Oreochromis niloticus: one gene and its partners. The protein of the gene in region 1 purifies or fractionates together with the protein of each later gene. This does not show direct contact. Links are inferred from orthologs where the notes say so. Each region holds a gene or a part of one and is shown on either strand. Other genes may lie near its edges.

Evidence for each region.
Region 2: the proteins of sirt7 (region 1) and fbl purify together in Homo sapiens (affinity purification with mass spectrometry; 3 studies listed by BioGRID, with this or other methods). This does not show direct contact. The link is inferred for Oreochromis niloticus from reciprocal best matches to the Homo sapiens genes SIRT7 and FBL.
Region 3: the proteins of sirt7 (region 1) and ubtf purify together in Homo sapiens (affinity purification with western blotting; 3 studies listed by BioGRID, with this or other methods). This does not show direct contact. The link is inferred for Oreochromis niloticus from reciprocal best matches to the Homo sapiens genes SIRT7 and UBTF.
Region 4: the proteins of sirt7 (region 1) and wdr77 purify together in Homo sapiens (affinity purification with mass spectrometry; 3 studies listed by BioGRID, with this or other methods). This does not show direct contact. The link is inferred for Oreochromis niloticus from reciprocal best matches to the Homo sapiens genes SIRT7 and WDR77.

What each region holds. Positions count from the first base shown.
Region 1 is NC_031971.2:32,548,969-32,555,795, reverse strand, and holds the start of sirt7 (NAD-dependent protein deacetylase sirtuin-7), read left to right. Parts: upstream 1-3,810; 5' UTR 3,811-3,957; coding exon 3,958-4,062; intron 4,063-4,170; coding exon 4,171-4,308; intron 4,309-5,579; coding exon 5,580-5,684; intron 5,685-5,766; coding exon 5,767-5,837; intron 5,838-5,932; coding exon 5,933-6,005; intron 6,006-6,543; coding exon 6,544-6,642; intron 6,643-6,827. Other genes in the region: uncharacterized protein cp110, read left to right, coding at 1,251-1,333, 1,563-1,722. UniProt on the Homo sapiens protein: NAD-dependent protein-lysine deacylase that can act both as a deacetylase or deacylase (desuccinylase, depropionylase, deglutarylase and dedecanoylase), depending on the context. Specifically mediates deacetylation of histone H3 at 'Lys-18' (H3K18Ac).
Region 2 is NC_031976.2:1,781,203-1,789,109, reverse strand, and holds the start of fbl (rRNA 2'-O-methyltransferase fibrillarin), read right to left. Parts: upstream 3,024-7,907; 5' UTR 2,864-3,023; coding exon 2,854-2,863; intron 1,209-2,853; coding exon 1,092-1,208; intron 1-1,091.
Region 3 is NC_031969.2:28,404,035-28,411,344, forward strand, and holds the start of ubtf (nucleolar transcription factor 1), read right to left. Parts: upstream 3,023-7,310; 5' UTR 2,650-3,022; intron 884-2,649; 5' UTR 862-883; coding exon 825-861; intron 473-824; coding exon 300-472; intron 206-299; coding exon 122-205; intron 22-121; coding exon 1-21. Other genes in the region: slc4a1a (solute carrier family 4 member 1a (Diego blood group)), read right to left, coding at 5,713-5,757, 5,849-6,022, 6,461-6,630, 6,711-6,952, 7,052-7,218. UniProt on the Homo sapiens protein: Recognizes the ribosomal RNA gene promoter and activates transcription mediated by RNA polymerase I (Pol I) through cooperative interactions with the transcription factor SL1/TIF-IB complex.
Region 4 is NC_031970.2:22,062,855-22,070,099, forward strand, and holds the start of wdr77 (methylosome protein WDR77), read right to left. Parts: upstream 3,016-7,245; 5' UTR 2,689-3,015; coding exon 2,580-2,688; intron 2,333-2,579; coding exon 2,147-2,332; intron 2,068-2,146; coding exon 1,926-2,067; intron 1,773-1,925; coding exon 1,723-1,772; intron 1,406-1,722; coding exon 1,335-1,405; intron 1,219-1,334; coding exon 1,161-1,218; intron 355-1,160; coding exon 283-354; intron 187-282; coding exon 78-186; intron 1-77. UniProt on the Homo sapiens protein: Non-catalytic component of the methylosome complex, composed of PRMT5, WDR77 and CLNS1A, which modifies specific arginines to dimethylarginines in several spliceosomal Sm proteins and histones.

The DNA of each region.
Region 1 (6,827 bases):
ATATTTGACCATTCTTCTTTACAGAATTGATTCTGAGTTCATTTAAACTGGTTAGTTTCCTGTTATAGACCCAGCTGTATGGAGCCCCAGAGCATGATGATGCCACCACCATGCTTGACAGCTGGTCTAGTGTTTTTATATTTGAAAGTCTCACCTTTATTCCTCCAAACATAGACCTCTGCCTCGTCTGACCATAAAACTGTTCTCCAGAAGGCAATTGGCTTGTCCATGTGGTTAGCTGCATATTTCAGTCTAGCTGGAGGTGTCGGTTTTGGAGCAAAGGCTTCTTTCTCTGCACCCTCTCAGTCCATTTTGAGTTTCAGCTCGCTTCACTGTGGATACTGATGCTGACATTCAGCAGTTTCCAGTTCATGGCAGTGTTGAGCCTTGGTGGTTCTTGTGTTGTTCCTGAACATCCAAACCAATTTCCTGTCATCTGAGCGTGACAGTTTGGGTCTTCTTTCAGACCCTGGCAAAGTGGTGACACATAAAAATAACATGTACTTTGATACAGTTGTTTGAACTGGAGATATTGGAATCTGTTTAGAAATAACTCCAAGAGACCTTCTTAACTCTGGTAAATCCACAGTTCTCCTTCTTAGATCTTCACTGAGTTCCTTGCACTTGACTTCATTGTTCTAATTATTGATCAATCCGATGAGTGCCATTAAACAAATTCTTCTAATGCTGGCAAAGAGAAACTATCAGCTGTAGTGTGTCTGTGTAGGTTCTCAGTCATCCAGGTCAGGAGCTTGGAAAGAAAAATTTCCTGACAACGTTTCACCTCTCATCCGAGGAGCTTTAGAGAAAATTCAAAATAAGTTCAAACGTATGTACCAAATTTTTGTTTGTTTGTTTTAAGATACATGCTGATGACAATCATGTCACCGTGGAAAAAGAACTGTTTGAAGAAATCATTATAGGCCCAAAAATACCACGGCATTCATGCCCATGATGATTGTATGTAAACTGCTGGCCACAGCTGTATTTATAATCATAGTGGTTATTTTATCACTTATATGTGATTCACATATAAATATGGTTGCTGTTATACTTAGAATACCTCCCGGTGATAACGCCAAACTATTTGAATTGTATTCATTCTCCTGTTCTGAGTTTCTAGGCTGAGAAGTAGAAATTCAAATATTACATCAACAGTGTATGGATTTGCTTTTGATACTGGTGGCTGCTGCAGAGACTGTGTTCTAAATATTGTGCATTTTTACGTGTGTGCGTGCTTGTGTGTTTAGGGTTCACAGACTGGCCGCCCGAGAGGAAAGAGCTTTCTGTCAGCTGCAACACAGAAGTCACTGGAGAGGAAAAGAGGAATGATGTGAGTTTTTCCTGCATCGTTGCTGTTTTTCTGTTTTCTTCACAAATGTGAACCGAACCCAGTCATTACAAGTTACATAAGAACCACTGGAGTGGGTTTTTATTGCAAGGTAAAAATGCAGCAGTTCCTTTAATTTTGTGATGAATTGAAAATCCTGCACCACAGAAAGAAAAAACTTTCTTCTTCATTTCTTTGTCAGCTCCTAAAACTTGTCTTGTCTTTGTTTCAGGATCCAAAGAAAGGCTGCAGGAAGGCACCGGGGGGTTATGACGAGGACAGCACAAAAGTCTGGATTCTCTGCTGAGCTCCTGCCAGAAACCAAACGAGGACATTTCAGAGCAAATCCTCAGAGGGTCCCCAAGAGCGCTTCCTCCTCTAGACCCCAATGACACCTTCCTAATTGGCCCCAGTGAGAACTCCTAACAAGCCCTCTAGTGATTACATGAATAGAGTATTACTAATCATCTGAGAGTTTCCAAATCCAAAAACCAAATTTGATTCAAATGGATGACTAATGTATATCATTGTATTTCATCTCAGGGGCTTTGAGAACATTTTTGACACCATGGTGTCTACAGAGGAGCGGCTATGTCACGTCTGCTTCCGGCATCTTTTAGTTATTTATTTATTTATCTTTTTTGCCATCTTCAGATTATTCATGTTGAAGATATTTGTGTGAAAATGTTGAGTTGACAGAAAAAATCGTTTGGCAGCAACTATAAAGGGTTGTTCACAGCACCTGAAAGATTTATAGACTCTCAGCAGATGTTCTGACAGCTACAGTGAACAGTATTGATCATCTCTCTGTTCATTTGGGTACTAGAGGAAGACAGCAGTTCATAAATTTGGGGTCAAATATTAGATTTGTGTTGGGAACAAATACTCTTTAGTAGGTTGTGCGTTGTAGTCTTCATATAGGCAATCGCTTTGTTTAAAGGTGACCTATTGTGCTTATTTCCAGCCTAATATTTTTATTCACGAACTCCACTAGAGTGGCTTTGCATGATTCATAGGTAACAGAAATCCTTATTTATCTTTTGCTGAGGCTTGGTGCAGCTTCTCACTCCATCCACTGTCTGAAATAAGATACTTTAGCTCCTCTTTTGTTAACTTTGTGACCACTTTGACTGAAATTTCAGGACCACAGATCCTTAAACATAATCTTAAAGTGTGACTGTGGTCACATGCCTTAAAGTTGGCAAGCTAATAGTTACACAGCACCTTGTTTCACGTTTGCTGACATTGGCAGCTCTTTGCCTGCATAAGCTTTATAAACATCTATGAAACAGAATAAAATATACTTCAATCTTACTCTCAGATTTGAAACATAGCTTGGAGCTTTGTTCTGCTTATTTTCAGCTCCATTTTTTGTTGTTTCACTCTACCAGCATGGCTTTGCATGATTAACAGTTAAAAGTTTTCCTTATTATCTGATACTACGCCTTGGCGTAGCACCTCGCTCCCATTAACTAGCTGAAATGAGCTGTTTTAGTCAACTTTCTCCTGATTGGCTGCCCCTCATAAAACGGGTTTCAAGTAGGAAGTGGGTGGGACTTCTGTGCCTGATAAGACCATATTAGGGATATCCTCTTTCTTTTAAAGCCAAGCATAGATAAAACAGTTAGAGCAGTGTGAAGCCTTAACTTTTGTCTGTGCCACAGTATTTATGACAGAAAACAAGAAAAATTATTATAGATCCACTTGATGATGTTAGGAAGTAAATATGTGGTAGATAAGCCTTTTCAGAGCAGACACTTTGGAAAAGCACCCTTGTATGTGCTGTGCTGTATGGCTCACTGTTACATTTAATGGGAAATAAGCATTGCTTGTGTTTTTCCTGCTGCTGTTATAAATCTTTGTCTTTTGTGGAAAAAAAACAGTATTTCCACTTTTCCACAAACACATTGCTGGTGCTCAGTGTAGTGCAGACTAGTCCCAGGTGACAAAAGCTGAGGCCAGCACTACACTTCAGAGATCCCAGGCACGGTGATTTAGGCACTCAGGTCAGTGACCATGAGAAGGACTATCACAACAACCAGCAGAGGCAGTCCTCAGATTCTCTCTGTCATCATTTTTCTTGCCACAGTAGCTCTTAACTTCTCGCAACTCAGCATAATCACCACTAAAACCAGTTGAGGGGTGGGCCGGTTCTCTGGAAGCTCTCTGCGTGGATGGAAAAGAGGTGCATTAGGACACCCAGCTGAAACACACCTGTTCATTCATCACCTTCATGATTCACCACCTCTTGTATTCACACATATTAAACCCTGCTTGTGTGATATGAGTAGTATTTTGTTCGTCTTCTGATATTTGACTTGAAGTGTTACTCTTCGTGTTGCCTTAAATATTTGTAGCTAAAACCTTTTGCAAATTTTGTATTGTTGTGGATTTTTGATTTGTTTTAAATGTTATTTATTTGTTCGTGTTTGATAATAATAAACTTTTATTTACACTGAGTTGCTGATGTGATGTGTGAAACTGAGGGAAAATACAGACTCCCAGCAGCAGGGGGCGGTGTTCCCGGCTCTCACCCGGTTTCTTTTTTACCTTCCGCTTCCGGCTGTGTCTGGTGCTATGAGCTTTGTTTTGAATAGACGTCTTCTCGTCAGCTGATTGAAAACAGGATGGCGGAAGAGCAGGACGCCGGTGTTTCTTCCCGGGCGCAGAGGAAAGCTTTGAGCAAAGCTAAAATACTACAGCGAGAGAGCGAGAGGGAGGTCTTCAGACTGGTGAGAGGGGAGAAAACAGATGCACATTTACAGCTAGCAGGCTAGACTAGCTCATGTTTGCTGTGTGCATTGTGAGGCTTACCCGGTTCCTCTGTCTTCCTCCCGCAGGTCGGGCGGGTCCTGAAAAAACCGGAGTCTGAGCGGTCAGAGGAGGAGGCCGCTGCTCTGCTGCTCCACAGAGACACTGTGGAGGAGCTCTGCAAGAGACAAGTCCGCAGAAATGTGCTCAAGAGGAAGCAGGAAGAGGTGAGACTCCGGCCCAGAGAGGCTGGATCTGGCCTGCTAAGATTGGTTTGTCAGCTAGAGGGACAACTTGAGAACAGAAGTGGAAGCAGCAGGTTTCTGGGTTGATTGTGTGAAGACTCAGAGAGGTTGAATGGTAGTCCCTCTTTATGCACAAAGTCTAATAAATACAAAAGGACTAAACCCATTCTGTTAAATGCACTGGTACTTGTACAGTGCTGTTCTGCTCTAAATGGGCACTAACAGCTTCATTCACCCAATCACACACATTCATTTCTTACACCTAAGCACCTTTTTAACATTCACACATGCACTCCCAGTCTGATGGATGCAGCAGGCTAGATTCGGGCTTCAGTATCTTGCCTAAGGATAAGTCAAAATGCAGACTGGAGGAGCCAGAGTCAACCACTGGTCTCCTGAGCTACCACTCCGGTCCTCATGGACTGCTCATGGAGGAGCAGTATGAGGATTCAACATCTACCCATTTATTATCAATAAGAGTTAACACACGCACACATACAACCAGAAGCAGTATCTCTCAAAGTGCTAAATGTTAGCAGCTATTTTTGTTGGTTTTTAATCCTAGACTTAGCCAAAGTATGAACTGAGGAGCTGAACCAGGCGTGGTTTAACTCTTTTCCCCGTAAAGACGACATTTGACAAGCTCCCCAGTACCCTTAATGACATGTATTGACACCTCAGTACCAATATACTCTGATTTGAGTTTGATGACCACTAGAATAGTTTATGAAGGTCAGCTGCATAGAGAGACCACCCTCACGAATTTCTGATGGAAACCCAGTCATTTTGTTCTATAAGCAGGCCTAAAATATGGTAAAAACCACTCTGTTCAGAAAAGAGCTTCAAGGGTTATTCCTAGTAGGCTAAAACAGGGTGGGAGACATTACTTGTTAAAACATCCTGTGTTTTCTTCCTCTCTTAGAAGCATTTGTGGTGTTTAAAAAACTTTCATTAAAGATCATGGTTGGGTGACAGTGTCCTCCTGCTCTTTCTGCTGTGAGAGGGCAGCGAGGCTTCAGAGTGAAACGTACAGTAGTTTACTGCATGATTTTAAAAATTAAAACTGCTTCTTTTGCTTCGGACTTCCTCCCTTCAGTGATCATTTTACATTATTTTGTCATGGTTTAAAAAAATCAGATGCAAACCATCGTCACCGTCACTCCCTGACCCACCCTCCAGACAAACCCTCAATCTTTTTCTGATTATTTTTGAAGCTCTAATGGTCTTTAGTACATCCCTAATGTCTTTTTCAGGTATTTGATGGTGTTGATGAGCTGAAAAATAAAGTCAGGCAGCTCGCTGTGGCAGTCAAACAAGCCAGTCACCTGGTGGTTTACACTGGAGCCGGTATCAGCACGGTATGTTAAACTCTTCCTCTTCATTTTCGCCTTCCTTTTCCTTTTTAAACTTTCACAAAACTGACATCGTCTATAATTTCAGGCAGCTTCTATCCCTGACTACAGGGGCCCTAACGGGGTATGGACGCAGCTACAGAAGGGTCGGGCCATTAGGTGAGATACAGAGTGTTTACTGTGACATGAAATATATGTATTACTCTCCCCTAGTGCATTCTGTTTGATTTATCTCTGCGTTTCTTTACGAACAGCTCGTCAGACCTGAGTAAAGCGGAGCCGACGCTCACGCACATGTGCATTAAGATGCTTCATAAGGAAAAGCTGGTATGTCACACCAAAGTCCTCCAGGAACATATTTTGAATTTGAATATTGAATATTTTGCATTTAAATGAGTGATTAGAGATTTGTAACTTCAGTTTCAATGGTTACTGCGACATAAAAACAGCATCTAAAGACTCATCAGTTAAATCCAATAATTAAAAGAAAGCTTTAAGTTAAAAACGTTATTTACTTTTTCCAGTTATTCATTCAGACAGAAGCTTCAAAATAACTTCCAAGATGTTCCAAAATCACAAGACTTACTTCTAGAAGGATTTTAATACGGTTAGCCAAGAAAAACAATAGCTACACTTACCAGAACTTTACTATGATAACAAGCAGATGTGACACACACCTGAAACATGATTGGTTATTTGTGTTTCCTGCTCTGGCATTGATAAGGACAGGACAGCGTCCATCTTTAGCGTTACAGAATATTACCTCGGTTTACCCCGGTGCTGCGTCTCCTCCTTGTAGCATCTGTGCTCACATCACATTTAAAGGCAGTGCTTCATGTTCTGTCTTTGTTTGCTCTGTGTAAAGGTTAAGCACGTTGTGTCTCAGAACTGCGATGGACTTCACCTGCGTAGCAGTCTGCCCAGACATGCCCTCTCTGAACTCCATGGAAACATGTTTATTGAGGTAAGAACCACGCATCCTCAGTCCTTAGACTTTGTAGAAAGCCTGGAAAGAATTTGCTGTGATGTTTCTAAAAACAGCATCTAAACCTAAACCCCTACAGATCCAGACGTGTTTGTTTCTCATGCAAAAATATTTCTCAGGTGCATCATGTCTTAAAAGCGCTGGAGGTTAATGTTGCTTTTTAA
Region 2 (7,907 bases), on another chromosome or scaffold:
GCTTTGCAAAAAACTGCATAAAAAGCACTTGCAGCATGAAAAACAATATTCCAGAAACAGGCTTTGCAAATACGATCAGCTGTTCAAAACACTTCCTACGTTGGAATAGACGTCAGCGCGAACTATCGCATGTCCACCATTACTTGCCCGAAACCGGAAGTGACGTCATATTCGTGGAAAATGTAGGGTTTTTTTTAACCTTCGGGGCCTTATAAGCCTATACTGGTGTTTTTAAAAGTCATCTTTGACTCTATGCTTTTCTGAATAGTTTCTGGGATGCTTAGAACTCAAATTGCACTGCTGGAAATAGTTTATTTTGATGCACATGCGGTTTTCTTTGCAAATTTGGATTATAATACTTATTTTCGTTTTTCCTGCAGTATATAAAAATTGGTGTATCTCAAAAATAAAACTGAAGACACTCAAAATAAATTTCCTGTTGCTGGAAACTATTTTGTGCAACTTTTTTGTATTTACAGTTTTGAGGGATAAGCCTCTTAAATTTCTCTAAGTAGAAATATATGTTAAAAAAACAAAAATGATTTTCTTTTTTTGTAGTTTATTGCACTTTTTTGCAATTTATGTAATTATTATGCACTTAATGCATACATATTATTAAAATTTGGGATATAACAGTTGTATTGATGTATAGCAACTTGAAATGCTCCTAAAAATGGCACTACAGCATGTAAAATGTAAAGAAACTCTGGCGGACTTGGTTCTATGGTAGGTCTTAAAGGGTTAAGAAACAAGTGGAGCGCTCAATGCTTGGTTAAAATGCGGTGGTCTGGTGAAAGCGGTGGTGTTTAAAGATTGCTCGGGTAATTGGAGAAGCAGAAATACAAAGCAACACTTCAGCTGCTGTTTGTGATCAAGTGGAGCACCCAATGTTTTGGAAGCTGCTTTAACTCCGAAAGTGTGTTCAAAACACCAAAACTGTTACCATTTGAACTTAACAGCCTATAATATTATATTATTAGCAGATACCTGAATAAAAATATTTTGTTCTGTAACTGCTTCAAGTCATCATCCTGGCATTTGAGGATGACATCCACGATGTGATGATACAAACGACACGTTTCCAGTCTCACCTCTTCCTCCCCGGAATCCTCCCCGGAATCCTCCTCGTCCTCCGCGATCACCAAACCCTCCTCTGCCTCCACCGCGTCCTCCACCTCTTCCTCCTCTGTCCATGCGAGGACTGAAACCTGAAACCATGAATCATTTATTATATGTGTAAATAGACGGACACATCTATAACACTTATTCACCCAATCATCTTCTCTTAAGCACTTTTATCCATTGACATTCACACACACATCACATTGAGTGCATTGGAGGAACTCTGGGTTCAATATGTTGCACAAAGATGCAGACTGGAGTCGGTGTGAGTCAGTCCATCAACCTTGATAGATGAGCCTGAGCCACAGCTGCCCCACATGTGGATCTGGAGGTTGTGAAATACCAACAGAAACTTCAAACACACACCATATCCACCTCTTCAAAACTAGCAATGTTGGAACAACACGTTCAAACTTGAAGTTATCCACAGTAACGTGGCAACCAGACCACTGAGAGTCAAGGACGATGGTGCCGCTTTTACACTCATAGCTACTCATCTTCAAAAGATTCTGTTTTGGTCGTTTTCCATTACGGCCGAGTAACACCTCCATGTGGGTGTGGGCGTTATAGCGATGTGGCTAAAAGACCCGTGATCTCATTTGTATGCCACAAACACCAAAGAGAGGAGGAAATCAAGATGATGGTATCCCTGTTGCTCGGTGTATGGCTTCTTGTCGGGCTCTGAGACCACAGTGTTGTTCTTTGTCTAGCTGTGTTTGGTTTTTTTTAAAAAAAAGGTAATTTAGATTTTTGTGAATGAGTTACTCTCAAGACTCACTAAGTGATGCCACCGATGGGCCAACCATTCCACTGGTGTCACATTTTTGACCCCACTCAGCTCACTTACAACCCCTTACGAGCAGGTTCCCTGGTATCAGGTACAAACACCTACTGGAAACCCTAAAAGCAGAGCCAAGCAGGCACTAGTGAAACAGACGGCCCCTGCAGGTCAGACAGCTGGTGCCAACATGAAGGTGGGACCTGACGTTTTTCCCAAATCCCAGATGAGCCAAAGCAACCTTTTACAGTACATGGCTGCCTACGTCAGTGCCGCCATCTTGGATCGTTAACCCGGGTCGCTGGGGCTGCTCGGGATTTTCGAGTGCGAAACGCGACTTGAGGTGGCGCTCCAGATTTAAACACCGACTTCCGACTAGCTGAGGGACGCAGCATAACACGCACATAACGTGGTTCTTCCAACACGCCCCACACTCAGAAACATCCTTCATAAGAAGTAACAGGGAGGAACACGGGCTAAGACTCGACTCACTGACTTCTGTGTCGGCGTGCTCAGCGTGGCCGTCCCCGTGATGTTTGGACACTTTCACCGAACCGCAAACACACAAAGTTCCGGCCGGGCTAACGTTAGCGCGAGCTACGTCTCGTGGAGCTGTAAACAGTTCGAGCGGGTTACAGACGGCACGACCCGACTTTGAGTAAAACCGTAACTCTGGTTGTAACGGAGGTCGCTGTGTGGGCCCCACTGAGTCCCAGACACGTGCGTGGAGCACAGCGCGTGTTCAACTCAGACTGCGCGGACACATGAACGTCTCACCGTGAACAAAACACGCGCTCAGGCAGCCACTGTTCGCCCAAGTCTGCTGTAGTTTTCACGGACAACGTGGCCGTGTAGGCCGTCCACGCAGTGTATCTAACTGTACAGGCTCATTAAATACACGATCAGACATCCGCCCGCATTACCGAGTATAAGCACATGTAATCTTACTGTACCTGGCTTCATCGTTTCTGGCGTAAACTACTGAAATGAACGCAGCCCGCGGAGTCGAATCGCTTCTCTTCTGTGTTGATCCTCAGTGAACAGACACGGTGTGATCACGTCCCACGTGCAGCTGTGCGACCGAGCACAAACTTTCTTCTTCTATCTAATCTACTGCTGCTTAGCAAGCAAAATGGCGCATTACCGCCACCAACTGGACACAGACGGAAATCTTGTTTTCAAACAGACGACAGCTGCTCTCAGCTGCCGGATGTTGTGCCAAAACAACCTTCCTGTCACAATGTTGAAGCCGGAATCCGTCTTTGATTTCTGATTGATATCTGCATCTAAACGATAACGGTCACTCTTTCGAGGATGCTAGTGTTCACATTTCACATGGTTTGAAAGAGAGTCAAAGCAGCACTTATCTGCACAATCTCATACACACACACCAAGTTACTTTTTGCACAATGCTCACTCTTGTGCACAACCCGCTGTCGTTGTTGCACTTTTCTATTGCACTGTCTTGTGTCTGCATTATTCTGTTCTGTCTGGTGTTGCACTCTCTTTGTTTTGGTTTTGTTGCACTTTATGTAATCCTGTGTTGATTGTCTGTTATATGTAGCAGCGTGGTCTCAGAGGAACGTTGCTCCGTTTCACTGTGTACTGTACCACTGCACATGGTTGGAATGATAATAAAGCCACTTGACTTGACTTGAGAACCACCTATGTCCACTGTGAGCAGCCATCTTTGACACCATCTGTCTGCCATCTACAAGGCAGTTTGAGATCCCTTCCCAGACGCTTAACAGACCCTTACCCCCACTCATATCATGCGTCAGGTGATCTCAATGGGTCGCATAAGGTCTCACAATAGTTTCACCCAAAACCTCTGCTAATAATGACCCCACACCCTTTTTCACACCTTGGTACATGTGATCAATATTGTTGGTCCTCTTGAGGGCCAGCTCCCACATGGGATTACATACCCAGGATTCTGCACCCTTTGGTTTTAGAAGTGAAGAAGCTTGATGAGAGGTGAAACATCTTCAAGAAACTTAAAGAAGTCCAGTTGTTTTTCTCCAAGCTCCCTGGATGAGACAACTATTAAAAGACCACTTCAAAATAACAAGAAAGTCTTTGTACTGATGTTAGCTAAATGATCAGAACACACAGACCGTACAAGCACATCACTGCTGCTCAGAGGAGCAGGGTATAACTGTTTTTGAAAGGAAATCAGATTCAGATTCATTTCTATTGAGCAGAAATGTTGGAAATCACAGTGAATAATTACTGAGTCATTTGTCATTCTGATATAGGCTCAGAGCATCATGGGAATCCCCCACACCCCTTTTCACTCCCCATGTGTTTATATGCCACTACTGCATGTCATTAACATACATCTTAGTTCCTCTTTTCTTCACCCTCATCTGAACGCAGACGGCTGAATTAGAATCTTTATTGTCAGTGTGCTTTAAGAACAACGGAAACTGTATGCAAACCCGCTCAGCAGGGGCGATTCTAGGATCAGAGCTTTGGGGGTGCTGAGCACCCAGAGAGCTGCCCATCCAGGCAAGATAAACTTTACACGTCACGACAGAGACTGTCAGTCCCTGCATCCTTAAATGTCTCCAGTTGTCCCGAGTTCTCTCTGACTGTCTCCTTGGTGCATTTAAACCCCTGTTCCTCCCTGTCCTCGTCGTCTGTTGTCTTCATCTCCGTTATCAGTCATCAGAATTTTACCATCTCTGTGCAAGTCTGCAAATTTCTTTCTTAAATCAGAAGATTCTTAAATTCATCAAGTCTCTCTGTGCCTGGGTCCTCGTCACAAAACATGACATCACTGTTTTGTACATTTTAACACAATTTAATCCCCACATTTGTGAAAGAAAAGCAAAACACTTTTTTGAAAAGTCTGTAACAAAATCATAAATCTGATAAAGTTTATTTAAATGCCACAAAAGAAGAATGGATTGGAATATAAAAAAATACACATCCTAACCTTAATTACTGGGGGAGGATAATGAATGATGATCATAGTGAGTAAAAAGTAAACTGAGTGCATTTTTTGGACAGAGATTCAGTTTTAATGTGTATGTATAATATAATACAGATACATAAAAATACTCCCAAAACAGAATAAATTATTACGAATAAATTGAGGGTTGAAGCACCCCCCAAAAATGGGCTAAAATCGCCCCTGCCACTCAGTGTAAGTGAAAAGAGCACACCGTTAAGAAAAAAAAGAAGAATATATATACAATAAATAACAATACAAAAATAAAAATAAACTAAATAAATAAATAAAATATAGTACATAGTATATCCAAGACTGTATATAAGAGTGAACAATGAAAAATACGGTTGACCCACAGTGATATAGTCTGTACAAATTTAACTGTACAATATTTGTATTTTCACAGTGGCTGCCCTTTCATGACCCTGGTTTCTCCTCCTTGTTACTCTTACAAAGAGCTGTTCAGAGGGGATCTCTGATTGATGGCACCTTGATTAAACTATAAAAAATCTATAAATAAAACTGAACAAGTCAAATATTAGGCCCATTTCCAACAACAATGAGTTCCAGTGTCACATTAATGCAAGTTTAAAATGTTAAAATGAACAAACTCATTGGATATAAGTTTACAGTTTTTACACACACAAAAACGGATGAATTAACACAATTTATCAATGATCAATTTTATGTAAATCTGTGTTGCTGCTGAGGCAGAGACCGTCCAGAGATGCTGGCAGCATTGATTTAAATGAAAAAGAAAACCTATCATGAAACAAACACGAGGTGAAATTAGCTATCATTAGTGTTTGGGTGTACATAGAAGTGCGATCAGTGCAAAAAACATGACCTAACACTTAAGAGTTCACAGTAGCCTACTATATTCAAGGACTCACTATGGCCATTTCAATAAACCTGCATCTTGAAGACACTTGCAACGACTACAGCCCGGCCTCCACAGTCACCTGACCTAAACCCAAAGGAGATGGTTTGGGATGAGATGGAGCGCAGAGTGAAGGCAAACAAGCCAAGTGCTCAGCATCTCTGGGAACGCCTTCAAGACTGTTGGAAACCATTTCAGGTGACGACCTCATGAAGCTCATGGAGAGAATGACAAGAGTGTGCAAAGCAGTAATCAAAGCAAAGGGCGGATATTTGGAAGAATCTAAATTATAAAACATGTTTGGAGTTATTTCACACTTTTTTGTTTGATACAGCACACTACGATGTGTGCTGCTGGTAAAGTTTCTGGGCTGTCTTTCCTCATAACAGCCATCCCTCAAGATTCTCTCCATTTAAAGCAATGCGATATCAGGGACAGTAACATCTAGTCCTTTTACTGAACCATACATGTTCATCCATAGTGTTGATGCCTTGAGTGAGAATCTACAATGTAAATAGTCATGAAAATAATGAGAAACCATTAAATGAGAAGGTGTGTCCAAACTTTCAACCAGTAGTAATAAAACACTACAGCTAATAGTCAAGCACCCAATGGAACTGTGTGAGCACTGCAAATAACTGGGCTGTGTTCAACATGTACTGTTAGGATGCTGGTCTGTGTTTAGGACACGAAGGCATTAATAGCAATCTCTGAGGAGCTGAAGATAAATTTGACATTAGAAAACCTGCTCGGAAGGGCACTGTCTCAAGTTTATGGCCAACTGTTGAAATCTGTGATTTTTTCCAGATCCACACTCCAGTCCAGCAGGCGGCGGTAATGCGCATCTAAGCTGGTTTACCAACCGCCATTAAACTGAAAAGAAGAAGAAGGTTACAGTCTCATGGCCATCAGTCGAGGCCCAGGCACTTTTTAGCAAGTCAAACATCACAGAGTTAAATAAGCCAAAGACACTTTCAGGGAGTTTCATGTAATAACAGTTAGACACAGGCTAAGGGTTTGAATCACACGATATCACAGAAGGAGCATAGGTTTATTTTAATTGCTTTTACATTATGGAAATGTTGTATTGTTTTAAAATATTGTATGGTTTCATTTATACAGCATTGAAAAGACGGTTTTCCATTGGAAAATTTGGTTTTATATCTATGAATTTTAGCCAGTAAAATGAGTTAATTAATCAAATTGCCCTATTTGCAGATTAATCAAAAAAATATTTCCCATAACAGAGAGAGAAGTCAGAATAGATAAAAGAAACAACAAAAGTACAAAAATCTGTCCAGAAAAGATTATAGCTGGAGCAGGACCAAAATAAGTGAGACAGTAACAAAATGAATCGTTAACATCGGTGTCTTTTTTATATCATACAAGAAAAGTTCTGGTGGGGTAAAAACGATGAATGATTTTAAAAGATATTTTCTTTACTTTGTTGGTTAACAGGAATTTCGATGGAAAGGTCAAATTCTCTTCCCCTCCAGGTCCCAGTATAAATTATTCCCATAAGGAACGGCCACTGGGACACAAATTGTGTCTTTCTGCACTGGAGTCCTCACTGCATGCTAGATGGTGAGGAGAAACCCACTGTGTTTGTATCACATACACTGAGTGTAGGAGAAAAGAACTACTTAGAACTGGATACAGAAGGATTAGCTGTAATATTTGGTGTACAGTATTTTCATGAGTACTTGTACGGCAGGAAGTTTATGATTATCATGGATCATAAGGCACTGATAAGTTTGTTTCACGAGATGAAGGTGGTGATACCAGAACGAGGCTGATGCCCCATGCTGGAACAGCTACATCACAGTCGGGAATGAGCCACATGAAGGGCCTGGCCAGAAGTTACCTGTGGTGGCCACACATGGAGACTGACATTGAGCATGAGGTACAGTCCCGCATTACTTGTCAAGAACACAGACACAGGCCTGCTACACCCCTGAGAGTGGTGAGCGGTGCAAACTTTAAAGGAAAAAACGAGTACTGGACACACACTGTTAAACAGGGGTCTGTTTAGTTACTGAATCACACCACAATCAACAACAGGTAGGTCTCCCGCCGAGTTGATGATGGGCAGGAAGTTGAGGTGTACACTTGATCTTATGCACCCCGACTTGAAACAGAACGTGGCATCAAACAAGATATCCAAAGATGGT
Region 3 (7,310 bases), on another chromosome or scaffold:
CTTGGGGAAATCTGGGTGTTTCTGTATTTGTGGGAGGGAAAGGGGGCGGAATTACTTAAGCCTGGAAATCCATTAGCACAACTGTTGGCCGTAAATTATGTGAATGTTGACTTGAACTCACCTTTATTTTTTTGCCCTTGTATGGGTTCTTTATGTAGTCTTGAGCATCAACTATCAATTCTGTCAGGGTCCTGAATTTACGAATCTGGGTTTGGCAGAAAAACAAAACAGAGAAACTCAGGAGACTTGACTTAACAGAAAAATCTGACTTGGAGAAAAATCGATACAAATCAACTCACCTCTTTCGAGACCTCCTGCCATTTCTGCTTGCACATCTCAGCTGTGTAGGAATTGAAAGCAACTTTCTGCCAGTCCAGGTGGGACTCTGATGTTTTGTATTTAGTCAGGTCTTTCTGTGGAAGAGCCACTTTCATGGCCTCCAGCAGTCTTAAAAGGTCATCCTGCGCCCATACTGTGAAAATGTTAAAAGAGAGAGAGAGAAAAAAGACACATAAAAATCACAAAGGAAAAAAACAGATCCACCCAAAATATCTTTCAAATCATACATCCTTTTGTGTATTCTGCCAAGAAAAAAATAACAATAAAATTACTATTCTATTCGTTTATTGGCTTTAAGTTGGTAAATCATATATTCTAATCTAATTTGAATCAAACAGTTTTAATTGCTGTAATTCTTACAAGAACTAGTACATTAATCAAGTTTAATACTAAGGTCTTAATATACAAGGTTATGTAAAGTGCTGCTTTGCCATGATTAATCTACATATCAACTCTGTTCAGAAAAACTTTTGCAAAAAACCCACCTTGGTCTTGTGTCGTTGCCTCCATTTCTCCATTCATTTGCGGATATTCTGTCTTGGATCTGCGAAAAAAAACAAAAAACACCCCCATAAGATTATTTAAAAGCATATCTTTTATATATCGACTTCAATCAAGAACCAATCAGCAGTTTATAATATACATATTCGTGTTTATTACCTTTAACCAGTAAGGCTCGAGATCTTTAAAAATAGTAATTAATGTTATTTTGTCTTATTTGTATAAAAGGGCTTAATTACCAATTAAAGTGGCTAATTCTTCATATAAAAGTAATAAACGAGTCAAAGTCGTTAAATTTAAATTTGGCTCGACATAATGGTTTATGTTCATTACACCGCCCCTTAAACGTTTACGCTACATGGTGAGACATAGGCTATTGCTTGTGACGGCTTCAAATCTCAAATAACACTGCGGAGGGCTTCAACTAGCACATCTAGCTACGACAACAGGAGTCTCCGTCGAGCAAATTTTGCCAACCGGAATTTGGCGTATTAGTACTGTCCTTATTCCACAACAAAAGTATCGTGGACACACAGGAGCGACCATTTTCTCGCCTGGTCCGCTCAGTAATGGAGGATTTTCTGTCGGAGCTGAGGTTGGGGAGGATCCACGGAAGGAGGAAGCGAATGGACGTGGACGGACGGGCAGCTGTAGGCGACCAGCTGACCACGGACGAGGGATCTGCTTTCGGTCTCCGAGAAAGGGGAATGGTAGCTTGGAAGCACTGCAGCCAAATGCGCCACTCGACAGAGGCGCCTCATCACCGTTGGGCGCTGATCTAGCTCCGCCACGCAAAACCTATAATCTTCTCCTCGTAGTGTTAACTGAGACCGGAGCGATGAAATCAAAAATAACACTCGTTTACAGTAAATAAATGTGTTTAAAGGTTATCTGCAGGCCGTTTTTATTCACGTTTCAGGCGTTTCAGAGTGGGATTTGCTAGCAAAATCCAGAGCATTCTTCAGCGAGGCGTAACCGAACTGTGTTCCAATGATGGCGGCTGCTCGTTGTTCATCTTGTCCTTGATGGCCCCAGCTCAATGTGGTGTCCACCGTGTGACCTAGCTACATTTAAACGATCGATTTCACCATTTATGTAACTAAATAACCGCCACATTGTATATAAGAAACTCTTGAAACACAAAATGTACCTTAAATTTCATTATTATGACAATATGGGTGATATAAATTGGAGTGTTGAGGCATTACACGAGCAAGGACGATTTGACACACCGAATGCGGCTAAAATTGGGACATTTTCTTTTAAATATTATTAGCTATGCCTTTTAAAAGGTTATTTAATACAAGGCTTTAGGCTTTTTGGCATCTAAGAACAATTTCGTGTCCTGCAGAGTAGACCTGGACCACATTAACATTAGCTGTTGTTTACAACCAATCATTTAAATCACGTAACGGTTTTTATTTAGCTGCGTTTAATAAAAAACAGCTAATTCAAATGGTGGACAGCGGACAGGGATTAGTAACAAATTGTAAAAATGCCCGTAAATATCGTGGTGGCTGGCTGGAAAGACTTGCGGAGGCGCAGGAAGAAAGAAGAAAATGGAAAATGTTTTTTAACGGCCAAATGTTATAGCATCGAACTAAATTTTTTTGTTGTTGTAAAACCAGAAATCAGCTTTAACCGTTGCTTACAGTTCCGGTTGCAGTATTGTAGCATTAAACGGCATCTAAAATGGTTAGCTAAAGCTCCGAGGAAACATGTTAACAAACCGCGGCTGAGTAGCTTCTCTGGCGCGACAAACAGCTCCAGGTCCGCCATGCTTCAGCTCTGCTCTACAAGGAAACCTACCGTGACAAGGTCCAATGGCGCACTGCAAACACAGAGAAACGGAGCTTAAAACTAAAGCCAGGGCGTCGCAGACTCCCTTCCCTCGATCCAAAACCGTTTAAGCGAGGGCAAGAAGGCGGGTTCTCCGAGCTCGGTCGTCGGAGGTTCTGGGCTAGCCAGTGAGAGAGAGGGGGAGAGAGAGGGCGAGTCTCTGCACGGTGAGATATTAAACTGAGATCCCTGATGGCTAACCGAGAGAGGCGGCTGGCTGTTCCGTCAACAGCCGCATGGAGGTCTCGGCGCGGAAACCACCGTTTATTCTCCTACGCAAATACTCCCCGTACAGCAGAAGCAGGCGAGTTTCGATGAAGGGGTTAGCTCAAAAGAGTCTTTTTTCGTGTTATTTTGAAAAGAAATTTATCACGTTTACCCCAGGGTCTTACATCCAGTTCCTTCCCCGCTGTTTGGGACAAGAAATTCGGGTATGGCCGCCCTCGTCTGTACCCTACCACCGTCGGTTTATTTCGCTACTACAAAGAAGCTGCCGACCGAGGCGCTTTACGAGAAAACAAAAACATGCATTAAATGTATATTTATCGCGTTTTGATGGCTTTTTCGCGGTTTGTTTATCACGTACGCGCATTGTATATTGAAACCGATCGGCTGTTGTGTTGGCTTACCTGTCTCTCAGCGTGAGCCTCGGTGTCGCTGTGGAGGAAGAAGGGGAGGGTTGAACGATAGCCAGCACTGCGCCGTCGGTCCTGGGCTCCAGTCCCCGCAGAGATGGTCCTTCCCCCCCGCCTCCATCTCACTCGCCGTCTCCCTCCACTCAGCGCGCAGCAGCTCTTCTCTCTCCATCCAACCATTTCGCTACCCCGAGACCTCCACATTTTTTCCGATCTCTCAGTTTGAATACAACCGAGGGCGATTATTTTTACTCCCGCAGGCCGACCCCGTCACATCTGCAGCCGAAGTTTGAACCCACCGAATACTTTATCGGGTGACCGAGAGTGCAATGAAAACCAACATTTTACAGGTGATTGTAAAATTTATACAACTCAATCACCTCACGCTCTTCCATCAGATTTTTTTTTAATATCAACTTAAAACCGAAACTTTACAAATTTTACTTAAAAACGCCAGATTTCCACTTAAAATATAAATAATAAAATGGTCTATAACACAAAAACCGCGCTGTTTCTCGCTGCTCCTAACCTCTTTTTTGTATATTGTAAGCGGCTGTTTGACAGCTTCATTTTGGTCCAGCATGTTTTGCTTTTCAACTCCACCTTGTGTGTTTGTGGGCGGAACCCCCGGCCATCCAATCCAAGCAGTCCGATTCAGGGAAAACAAATGACTTTCAGGCCCTCGGCCTTGTTAAACCGTGTTGCGTTCCCATGGTGTAGGAAAAACGGGTATCTTTGCATGCGAAACGAGTAGAGACAAATGAAGACATGCTTGAACGAATAAGTCATATAGAGCTTATCTTAACTTCACGAAATGTCACATTACCTATAGAAAACAAACAAACAAAACTCATTGTAAAGAGGCAGGGGACTTAGCAGCGTGCAATGTCTGTTTTTAAAATTAAAGACTCGGAACAAGCAATTTACCCCTTTCCTGCCGTGATCATTTTCCCCAAAGAACTTTAACTATTTGTGTCGCAGTTCAGTTTGCCTCAAAGCAGTTGCGCTATTTAAGGGATAGGAAAATCAGCCGGTCCAACTATGTTTGTCTTGATTGAATATTAGAAACATTATTAAAAAGTGACATCATGAAATAAAAAATACATAACAAAGGGTGTATTTTACAACTTCACGGTTTTGTATGTTGTGTATCTATGTATTATGTGACATGTCATTCAGCTAAACATGTTTTACTAGTCTGAGAAAGAAAACAGTATTCTGTTTAATGATTCCCCCTGTGTTATTATCATAGTGTAGGCTAAGAATAAGTAAGAATAGGCCCCCCTTGTCTTCCAGAGCAGCAGGACTTTGAAGTTTCCTGACATCATTGAAGGCAGCATGAAGCTGACTGGCAGACATGCTCTTCACGCCCTCTCCTCTTTCTTGCAGGGTAAAAATAATGACAAAATGTTGACATGTGATGTGACATATTGTGTTACTTAATGCGTTCATGAAAACATGCGTTTTAAGGTTGTCTTTATTTTTTAATAAAATTAAATCCAAAGCATGTACAGTGTTTTGCACACAAATGTGATGGGCAACATAAAATGCACAAGGAAAATGTATACAGAGTTTTACCTGATTATGTCATCAGTATAACAATCAATTCAAACAATAAGATCTCAGCATCAACTATCTACCTGCACTGCACACCTCATTTAAAATCACAAACACTTACACACAAGCAGTGCATTTATATTCTATATAGGCCAACTGAACAAAAAAAGTCTAAACTGTTGCATAAACAATACACAAAGTAAATGGGAAAACTTCAGAAACAACTTCACACTTTTCTGAATAATCTGATAAACTATGGACAAAAGGCACATTATAGTCTCACAAAATTCATTATTTTGTGCGCATCTGAAGAGCTGACATCAGATTTCCTTAGCTTAAAGTAAGATGAAATTAAATTATTGTAACATGGGCAGAACTAAAATTTAACTGCATTGTTGTAATATTAAAGCCATGCTGTAATTGAGCACTAAAAGAAAATAAAACTATTATATATAAATGGATCTATCTAACATCACAAGGGGAAAATATCTCTTATTTTCAAAATCCATTCATTCATTTTTCCCTGAGAGAAAATGCCACTCTGTATCTAAGTACATAAACAGCCACTTATACCTTAAAAAACATTTTTGAAATCCTAAAATCTCAAAATATTAATTAGTAATACCTGATAGGTCTCGATGATGAAATTCAATACATTTTGGTTGTCTGTTGTGGTTGCAAACCCAAATTTAGATGCAGAAGTCATATATTAATAAATGTCAGGTAATGCCCTTTAAAGACAAATAGTAATGGAACAGTTTAAATATACAAAGAAGTGGCATCACTAAATAAAATGTGAATATGAACGGTATGGTGATGTTTATGGCAGTATAGATCCATCCTACTCATCCTCCTCAAATGTCACCTTGGCGTCATCAGCGTCCAGCTGCAACACATGCAGATCAGGTTACAACAAGGAAATTTACATATGAAATGACACGAAGAGGTAAATTTGAAAAATATAGGTAAGCACTTACACATTTCATTTCCATGGCAGAGAAGAGCCTGCCAGTCATGAACATGCGCAGAGGAACGGTCAGAATGAGAACAAAAGGCAGAGCCAGAGAGAAGGTGCTCATCTTCACTGCCCAAAGTACACCCAGGCACACGAGCTGGATCAGAGTGAACAGATGCATTCGCAGGGTACTCACCTGTACAAATGACAAAAATAAGAGTGAGAAATGCACTAATTAACAATTTATATGGTAATTATTACACCACTAGACTTGGATATATAAGAAAAAGCAGGATGGAATACATAATCTAATGCAAGGAGCTGTGAACCATTGGCTGTTTTTGAAAGTACTGTTAGCAGGTCTGGGAAAGTGAGTAAAAATGAAAGCAAGGTAAAAAAAAAATGATCACAAAGATATACAACAGAAGACACAAATGTGAGGCACAAAGCTACAAAGACATGGAAAAAATAGCAAATAGATTAAAAATTGTAAACAATACTAAATATTTTTTGTGCTCTGAGGAAAACTGTCTAACACAGTGAGTTAGCTTCGAAACATGAAGGTGTACTGCATACAAATTAACTGTGATTAGCTGATAAGTGTAAAATAAACTGTATTGTGCTGAATAGATACCCTGGTGGCATAGGCATCAGGGGGATGGTATTTCTTGGGAGTAATGAGCAGAAGGATCCTGTCCCACATCTGGATTCCATTTAGAGAAGTGATACCCATATAGAGGAAGATGCCAAACAAGGCAGTCATTGGAATCATCTTCAGAATAGGCTCCATGTAAATAGAAACTCCTGAAAATTGGCATGAGCAAAATGGTTATTTACTCTGACTCTGCTGTGCCTGCATCATTGCTGTAGATGGCAGCACCTACCAATCATGATGGCCACAATCATGCCGCTGACCCTCTGCTCAATCACTTTCTCAATCTCTGGTTTGGGGCCCTTGGACATGACAGTGAGAGCATTGGCGTGGGTGACAGATCGCACAGTGGCAGCACTCAGCCAAGGGACTCCAAAGATAGACGCGATTCCGCCCATGGTGACCAGGACGAGAAGGTCCCAGTGGAAACCCGACCCTTTTACCATTTTCCTTTCCGGTTTGCTCACAATCAGCCTGGGATTCACAGAGAACATTGAAAACAGAGATTTCTTAAATATTTAAGTAGTTAAATTCACACAAACTGATACTGTTATCGTTTAAAGTGTCACTGACGTAGTAATTTGGGACTCAAGGAAGATGAGGATGAAGACAAGCACTGCAGGTATACAGCTGGCACCTATCATCCAGCCGGGGAAAGGTTTCTTTTCTCCCATGGGGTTGATAAACCATCCCCTCGCATCGGGGTTAGTCACTTCAATACCTTTTGGCACAACCAGTTTCTATGAGAAGACAGAGTGATAATGCTGATTAGAAAGACATAGTTAAAGGTAGATTATTTGGCCTTACATCATACATTTTGAGAACTGGTTGG
Region 4 (7,245 bases), on another chromosome or scaffold:
GAAGAAAAGGAAGAAGTCAGAATTTTGTAAAAGAGCAATAAAGCCAAAGGTGAGACTGTGACAGACTTTACATTTACCTGTGTGTGGAGAAGGCCAGCCCATTAACTCTGCGGCTGTGAACTTTCTCCACCCGAGATGGCTCCGATCCCAGGAAATCTTTCACAGTCACCCTGCCAAGCTCATCGCCTGAAACACGATCAGAATGTAAGCGAAGTTAACTTTGTCTCAATTAAAGTCAGGTCTTAATCAAATGTGACTCAACAATGTAATGCAGCGTCTTACCAAAAGCAATGGTGCTTCTGTGGTGAGGGTGCCAAGCTAGAGAAGTAGGGGAGCAGCTAGGAGACTCTACATCTGAGGCAAAACAAAAACAGAAACTGAGAATGCGCTTGCCATCTCTCATTACTTACACAGGATATCCTGTACAGCACAGACATATTTCCAAGACAGCCTATAAACGGATTCCAGGAACAACAACACAAAGTCCTTCTTTAATCATCTAGACAAAAATAAAACGCTAGGTAGCTAGTTAGGTAATTATGGAGCACTTCCAAAGTTTTGGAAACACTCTTATTAACTCTTTAAACCTTGAAAGCCTTCTAGAAGTAACCCTTGAAGCTCTTTTGTGAACTAAGAGGTTTCATTATATTTCAGGCCTGCTTATAGAACTAAATGATTGAATCTGCATGTAAGTTAGTGAGGATGGTCTCTGCCTATTCCGCCACACCTGAAAAACCTGAAAACTACTCTAATGTTCATCAAATCACATCTTCATGGGTTTTTAATCCATCATTAAGGGGACAGATGAGGTGTTGTCAAATGTTGTCTTCATGGGGGAAAAGTTAAGGCTCTGGATTTGGGTTGATTACTTTGGTAATGGCTGCATATGTGGAGGAATCAACTCCATTGCAGTTGCAATATTGTCTACCTGCTAGGTATTAGTACATACTCCAACTTTAACACACATACATTTGCAGAGTGAATGACTGCTGCATAGTCTGTGTACTGGCATAAATTTGTAAACACAACTGTTTGTTTTGGAACAAATTTTACTCTCTGTCATAATTCATTTCCTGTGCAGCTTTACCAATTCTAATCTCAACTACTCTTCCAGTAGTGTTTGGCAAAAGTGGTTATCAAAGCTTAGTGAAGTAGCTTACCTATTCTTGATGCAGGTTTGTTGGGCTTCCTCCTGTCCCACAACAAAACACGCCCGTCCTAAGAAGGGATGAGAAGAAGAAGAAGTTGAGTTTATCTGAATGATTGCAGCTCTGCGGTCCAAAAAATAAACCTCTGCGACAAGAATGCAAACAACACGCTGATTAGCATCTTACTTGGCTACAGGAGAGAAACAGAGACTCATCTGTAGGACTGCAGGCAACACAAGTGACTGGTTGTGTGTGCACTGTGGGAAGAAAACAACAAGAACTGTTGAGTTAAACTTTTCATGTCAATGATGTTTATGACATTTTAATATAAAACTTTCCTTCAGCAATACATCGTTCCAAAGAGTCAATAGGAATATGACACTGGGATAGTCTGGTAATATCAGCAATAGAAACAAAAAACCTTGGTAAATTAATTAATCTAAAATCTATACATCCAGGAATGCTACAAAAAATAAACATTTTTTACTTTTATTTTTCCACATTATGGAAAAAAAAAAGCATTTTTATAAGTTTTGTGCATTTCTATATGAAGAAATGTTAAGATGACGCTTACCATTGTAGGTAGTGACAACCATTTCCTGACTTAGATCCCAGACTTTAATTCTGTAATAATAAGCAAAGATGCACTTTAAGGGATGACAAGGGCAACTCAAAAATTAAGTAAGCCAAAGTTTGAAACAAAAGCAATTAACATTGCTTCTGCGCTGTTGTGACAGGTGGAATGGTGTATGTATGTCCATGTAAAACAAGTCTAACCTGCAGTCCATGCTGCCAGTGACTGCAGCGGTTGCTCCAACCATGGGGCTTACTGTAGTGACAATATGGTCATGATCATTCTTGGTAAAGCGATTAACCAGTAGACGTTCATCCTCTGCTAGTTCCCAGAGCTCCAAGGCACCTGCACAGACAAATGAGACCAGTCTCATACAAGCCTCAAGTGTGTGCTTGATTCACCTGCCATAAAAACATTTCATTACCTGAATCTGAGGCAACAATAATTCCTTTCTCTGACACCCATTTGACATCTGTGACACCAGCCTCAGTCTGCACACCAGCTTTACAGAATCCCTCACTGGGGGCCTGGTCAGGGTCGCTGTAGATCCAAACAGATCCCTGCCAGCTTCTGCCAGAGAGGCTGGAGGCACCAAGTAGCAGGGTGCCATCTGTGGAGAAAGCCCAACGAGAAAACCTTTCAAACGTCTATATTTTCATTCATCGCCTGCCAGAAAAGTTTAGTCTGACTGGTATTCAACAGAAAATGTTATTTCTTTAACATTTTGTTGGATGTAAACATAAGAGAGTCAACGTAGGATTTCAACAGTTTAGCACAAATGTAAACACACTAATTATAACCAACTAGCGGCACCACGTGTTTACACGTTAACTTCAGCTAGCGCTCCTTTCCCCTACCTGCTCTGTATTGTGCCGCGCACAGGTGCCTCTCCATGCACGCAGGAGCATTGGGGGGTATGTCCCACCGGTTTTCCTTGATCATCCTAGTATCCACTGAACTATTCATCCAGAAATCGCACTTTAAATGTTGATGAGATTTCCTAAACTTCTACAACACAACTCCTGCGTTAGCTAGCTAGTGCTACTGCAGAAATGATGCAGGTTTTGTCTTTAGTTTATTTCTTTTGAAAATATTATTATTATTACTATCAATAATAGCACACAGTCGGTTGCTAAAAACACGATTAAGCCCGTAATGCATGAAAAACGAGTCCGTATATTTTTCGTTTCACGAATGAATGACCGAGAGCAGCGCAACACATGGAACTGCTAGCAAACGCTTCCTGTCCGGTTTCTTCTTCTTCTCTTTTTTTGGCAGCATGCATAGTACCAGACGTGTTACTGCCCTCTGCAGTATTATTTAGCTTATGGGGCCTCTTCAAAGGTTTAATGTAGTAATGTAATGTAGTACTGCCACCTGGAGTTACTATAGCTTTGTATTTTCACATCATGTTTTTATGTTTTTTTAAAAATTGTATTTCGTTTTAACTTTTTGCTTTGAACACTGTTTAGTTTCAGTTAACTTCCAGAGTGCATTTTCTCATTTAGTTTTAGTTTTTGTTCATTTCAGTGTTAGTTTTAGACTTAAAAAAGAAAATTGTATTTATGGCAAATGACAGAGGCAACATTTAGGAAAATCAATAGAGATATTACAATATCAACAGGACTTTTTGAAAGTGGTTGACTCACAGTCTTGTAGACATCCAAAGCCTCAACAAACAAGTTCACCAAAGCCTCATCATGCAGTTAGTGATAACAAATTTTACCAAAATAATACAATACTAACAATAATACATCATAACAATACCAAACTAGGGGTGTTTTCACTATCATTTAATTTCATTGTAGTTATTTTTCCAAGTTTACAGAATCACTTCAGATAGTTTACATTTTTTTAAACTAACTACTATGGAAGCTTCTTTCTGCCTTACAAACTCAAACATCCAAGAAAATAATTAGAAATCGCGAGTTATGTCATTTTTTTCTCCCAGTGGCAGAAAGAAACTTCCATAAGTTTTAGCATAATTTCAACCAGTACTTTGATGTGACTGCCTATGTCAGTTAGTTAGTATGTCAGTTACAGACAAATCAGTCCAGGAGTTATTAATCTTGGAGTATCTTGTCTTTCATTACAGTCTTTTCATTCTAGCTACAGATACCAACTTCTAAATTTACAATTTGGCAGATAGCCTAATTTTGATGTTTATTCCACTTTTGTAATGTTTCCTCCTTGTGCCGGGTCAACAGGAACATCTAAGCTAACTGAACTGCTTTAAGGCCCTTCAGCTTTTCATTACACCATCTGCTTTTGATCATAAAGATAAAATAAACCTGGTCACACACTGCCTTTTGTAGATGGCATTGCATCTGCTGATAATTTCTAGAGAAACTTAAGGTATTATTATTATTATTGTTAATAATAATAATAATAATAATAATAATAATAATATCACTTATTATTTCTATTACTTAAAACATTATTACTGTATTATAATTTATTACAGAACAAGCACTGTTTTTTACCAGTTAATATGAATGTAACACTATTTGCGCTTTTGAAAAATAAAGCAAGCATATACGTTACATTTAAATACACTTTAAATCATTAAAAAATTCATCATTAGCAACTAAAATATTCACCTGATGATGAAACGAGATCCAAAGACAGAGGACCACAAAAGTTACACCAGTATTCCTGAAGGGGTATCTGTCTACCACAATGCATCCAATAGTTGAGATTCTTCATTTCTAAATACCACAGTAGAAGAATTGAGAATAACTACTTTATTGTCACTCAACAAGATCAATGTTCATAGTAGTGAATCTCTCAGTAAAAGGATTTAAAGCTGGGTGACAGGTTTCCCCAGTGTCCTCTTATTGCCTAAGAAATCTGATATTGTCCTTTCTTCTGGGGCTTTGGAAGATAAATTCTGTGCCTCAAGTCATTTCTGACTATGGCATGACCATTTGGCCAACTACCTTCAGAACTTAATTTGATGTATAAATTACGTTATAGATAACTTATAAATGATTCATTCTGCCACGTGTCTATGTTTTCCATTTTTTTTCCAGGTCTTCAGGATTGGGAGGACATCAAACCCCCTTCTGCTATTTCTAGAAATTCCCATGTCTTCCTAGATCTTATTCTTTTTTGTCATCTCTTATCAAATAAGACTCGGGCTGGAGGTGGAAAAGCTGAAGATGCTATGATTTTTATTGGGAGTGACCACAATTGACAGCTCAGGCTGAGCAGTTTTAAGAGAAAGGTAGAGAGGCAAGGCTGGGAAGGTCTGGACATTCTCAAGAGGGACAGCGGAGATACTGGACAAAAGATGTTAAATATGTAGCTGCCATTCATGGATTTAGTGAAGGAGAACATGCAGAGGCTTGGTTGTCAAAGAGAACGCTAGGGATAGGGTGAGGTGGTGCCTTCACTGTGGTGACCACTAAAGGTTGCAGCCAAAAGAGGAAAAAAACATTATTGATATATTTCAAAGCATTTTTAAACCTTATGCGCATACTGCAAAACCTTAAAAGAAGAAGAAGAAAAAGACATGACGCAACATTATGGATGCAATTGGAGGTACAGCCGGTGATCTACTACTCAGAAGGTTGGTGGTTCAATCCCTGGCTGCTCCAGTCTGCATGCCAAATATCCACGGGCCAGATTCTAACTCCAAGTTACCGTTTAGGTAAGTCTGACAGCTCAATAGGTTTTTTGAGTTACAAAAAAGAGGTTTAATGGCGCAGTAAAAGTTGGTAAAATCATTTTGAACTAACCGGAAGTCCATTTGCGCTCCTTTTCATGTCCAGTTTGACCCTGTTTATTTACAATTCTGGCATTGGATAGTTTATATATACTAACGTAGTCCCTATTACGCCAACTGCTTATCGAACAAACCCCACAGTAAAGTGACAAGAGAAGAAAAGTAATTCCAATAATGTAAATGCGCACTTATAACTACGTCAAATCAATCTGCACTTTTATTGTGAAGGTAGGAAAACGGAAATGAAGGTTACATTGGCGAAAACGTTACAGTTCTGTCCCCCTGTCTAAAATCGATAAGTGATTGGCTTACTTGATGGTTAAGATTTTGTGGGTGTATTGCCGTGTTCACAAAAGGTAAGCACACAGCCATGTCAAGTGGCAAAACGTGTGTGTGTGTTTTTTTCCTCACACAAGTGTCGTCGGTGCACATAACGGTAGCTTTGTAACGTTAGTCGTCGTTACAGTGATGCCTTTGTCTCGGCTTTAACCCACCAGGTAACGTTAAGGCTAACCGTTAACTGTAGCTAAGGCTAGCTGCTCCGAGGTGTGTACCTGTCCACGCTGAGTGACAGACACTCAGGTGGGTGGATAGCTGCCGTTCTGCATGCTAGGCTGCTGATGTGTGCACACTGGACTGCAGCCTGTGCGCAGCTGCTGGGGAGCATTAAGGGAGAGCTGTTAACATTCTTGGCGAGTCAGACCTCCAGACATACCAGCATCATTGCCGCGCACTAAGAGAAATGTCATTCGAGGTGAAAGCAGTGAGCTGCTGGCACTGTAGCAATTAACAACGTAAAATAAGGTACTTAAAACCTACTGGGAGAGCAGAGGGTTTGTTTATTAAAAAAAAAAAAAAAAAGCCTTCATTTTCCTATTTTTTTTCTCCCGAAAGTATAAGTCAAATAACTTTAAGTTCATCATTTTAAATTAAAGCTCCAACGTGCCTTTATGGTCCTCCTTACACTGTACACTATGCCAATACTATATTTTTTTATTACAGTTATTGACATTTCTGTGTTTAGGCCTATTGTTTGATATCACATATGTATGAGGATCACTACTGTTTACTCTGTAAATAAGTAAAGTTAGTTTTAGATGTAGACTAAGTTTTGTACTAGTACTGCATTTCTACACGGGATATAGTAGCCAAACATCTGCATTACGTTTACTGAGAGCAGTGGCCAATGTTCACCTATTATGCCGGATAAATCCTACTTTGCTTATTTCACAAAGAGGTATGAATGACAACAATAACACTGATCATGTGCTACTTTGTCATTTTACACATCAGCGTTGGTACAAGAGTTAACAGCTGGAGCATCCTCACTTTCTGTACATTAAAGAATATTCCTGTGTAATGTAAAAATGTCATATTTATTATAAAAGTAACCATAAGAATACAACAATGTGTGTATTTCACAATCCACACTTTAAATGGCTATGTATGTATTAAAAAAATTTAAGCCACGGGCTATATTGACTTGGAGTGCGGTATTTTAGAGATGGTTTTGGATTCATCTACAGCCTGGTTTGCATGTTCTCCCTGCAACAGTGTGGGTTTCTTCTGGGTACACAGTGTAAACACAGTCGGTAGTTTTAAATGGGTTTGAATGCCAGGTACATAATGGGTATCAAGTACACCCTACGTGAAACTAACTTCTTTATTAGGTAAACCTGTCTAAGTCCTTGTTAATATAACTAATATTTAATCAGCAAATCACATGCGAATGCAATTTATTCAACAATGCAAAGACCAAGTATATGTAGTCGGGATGACCGGCTGAAGTTCAAACC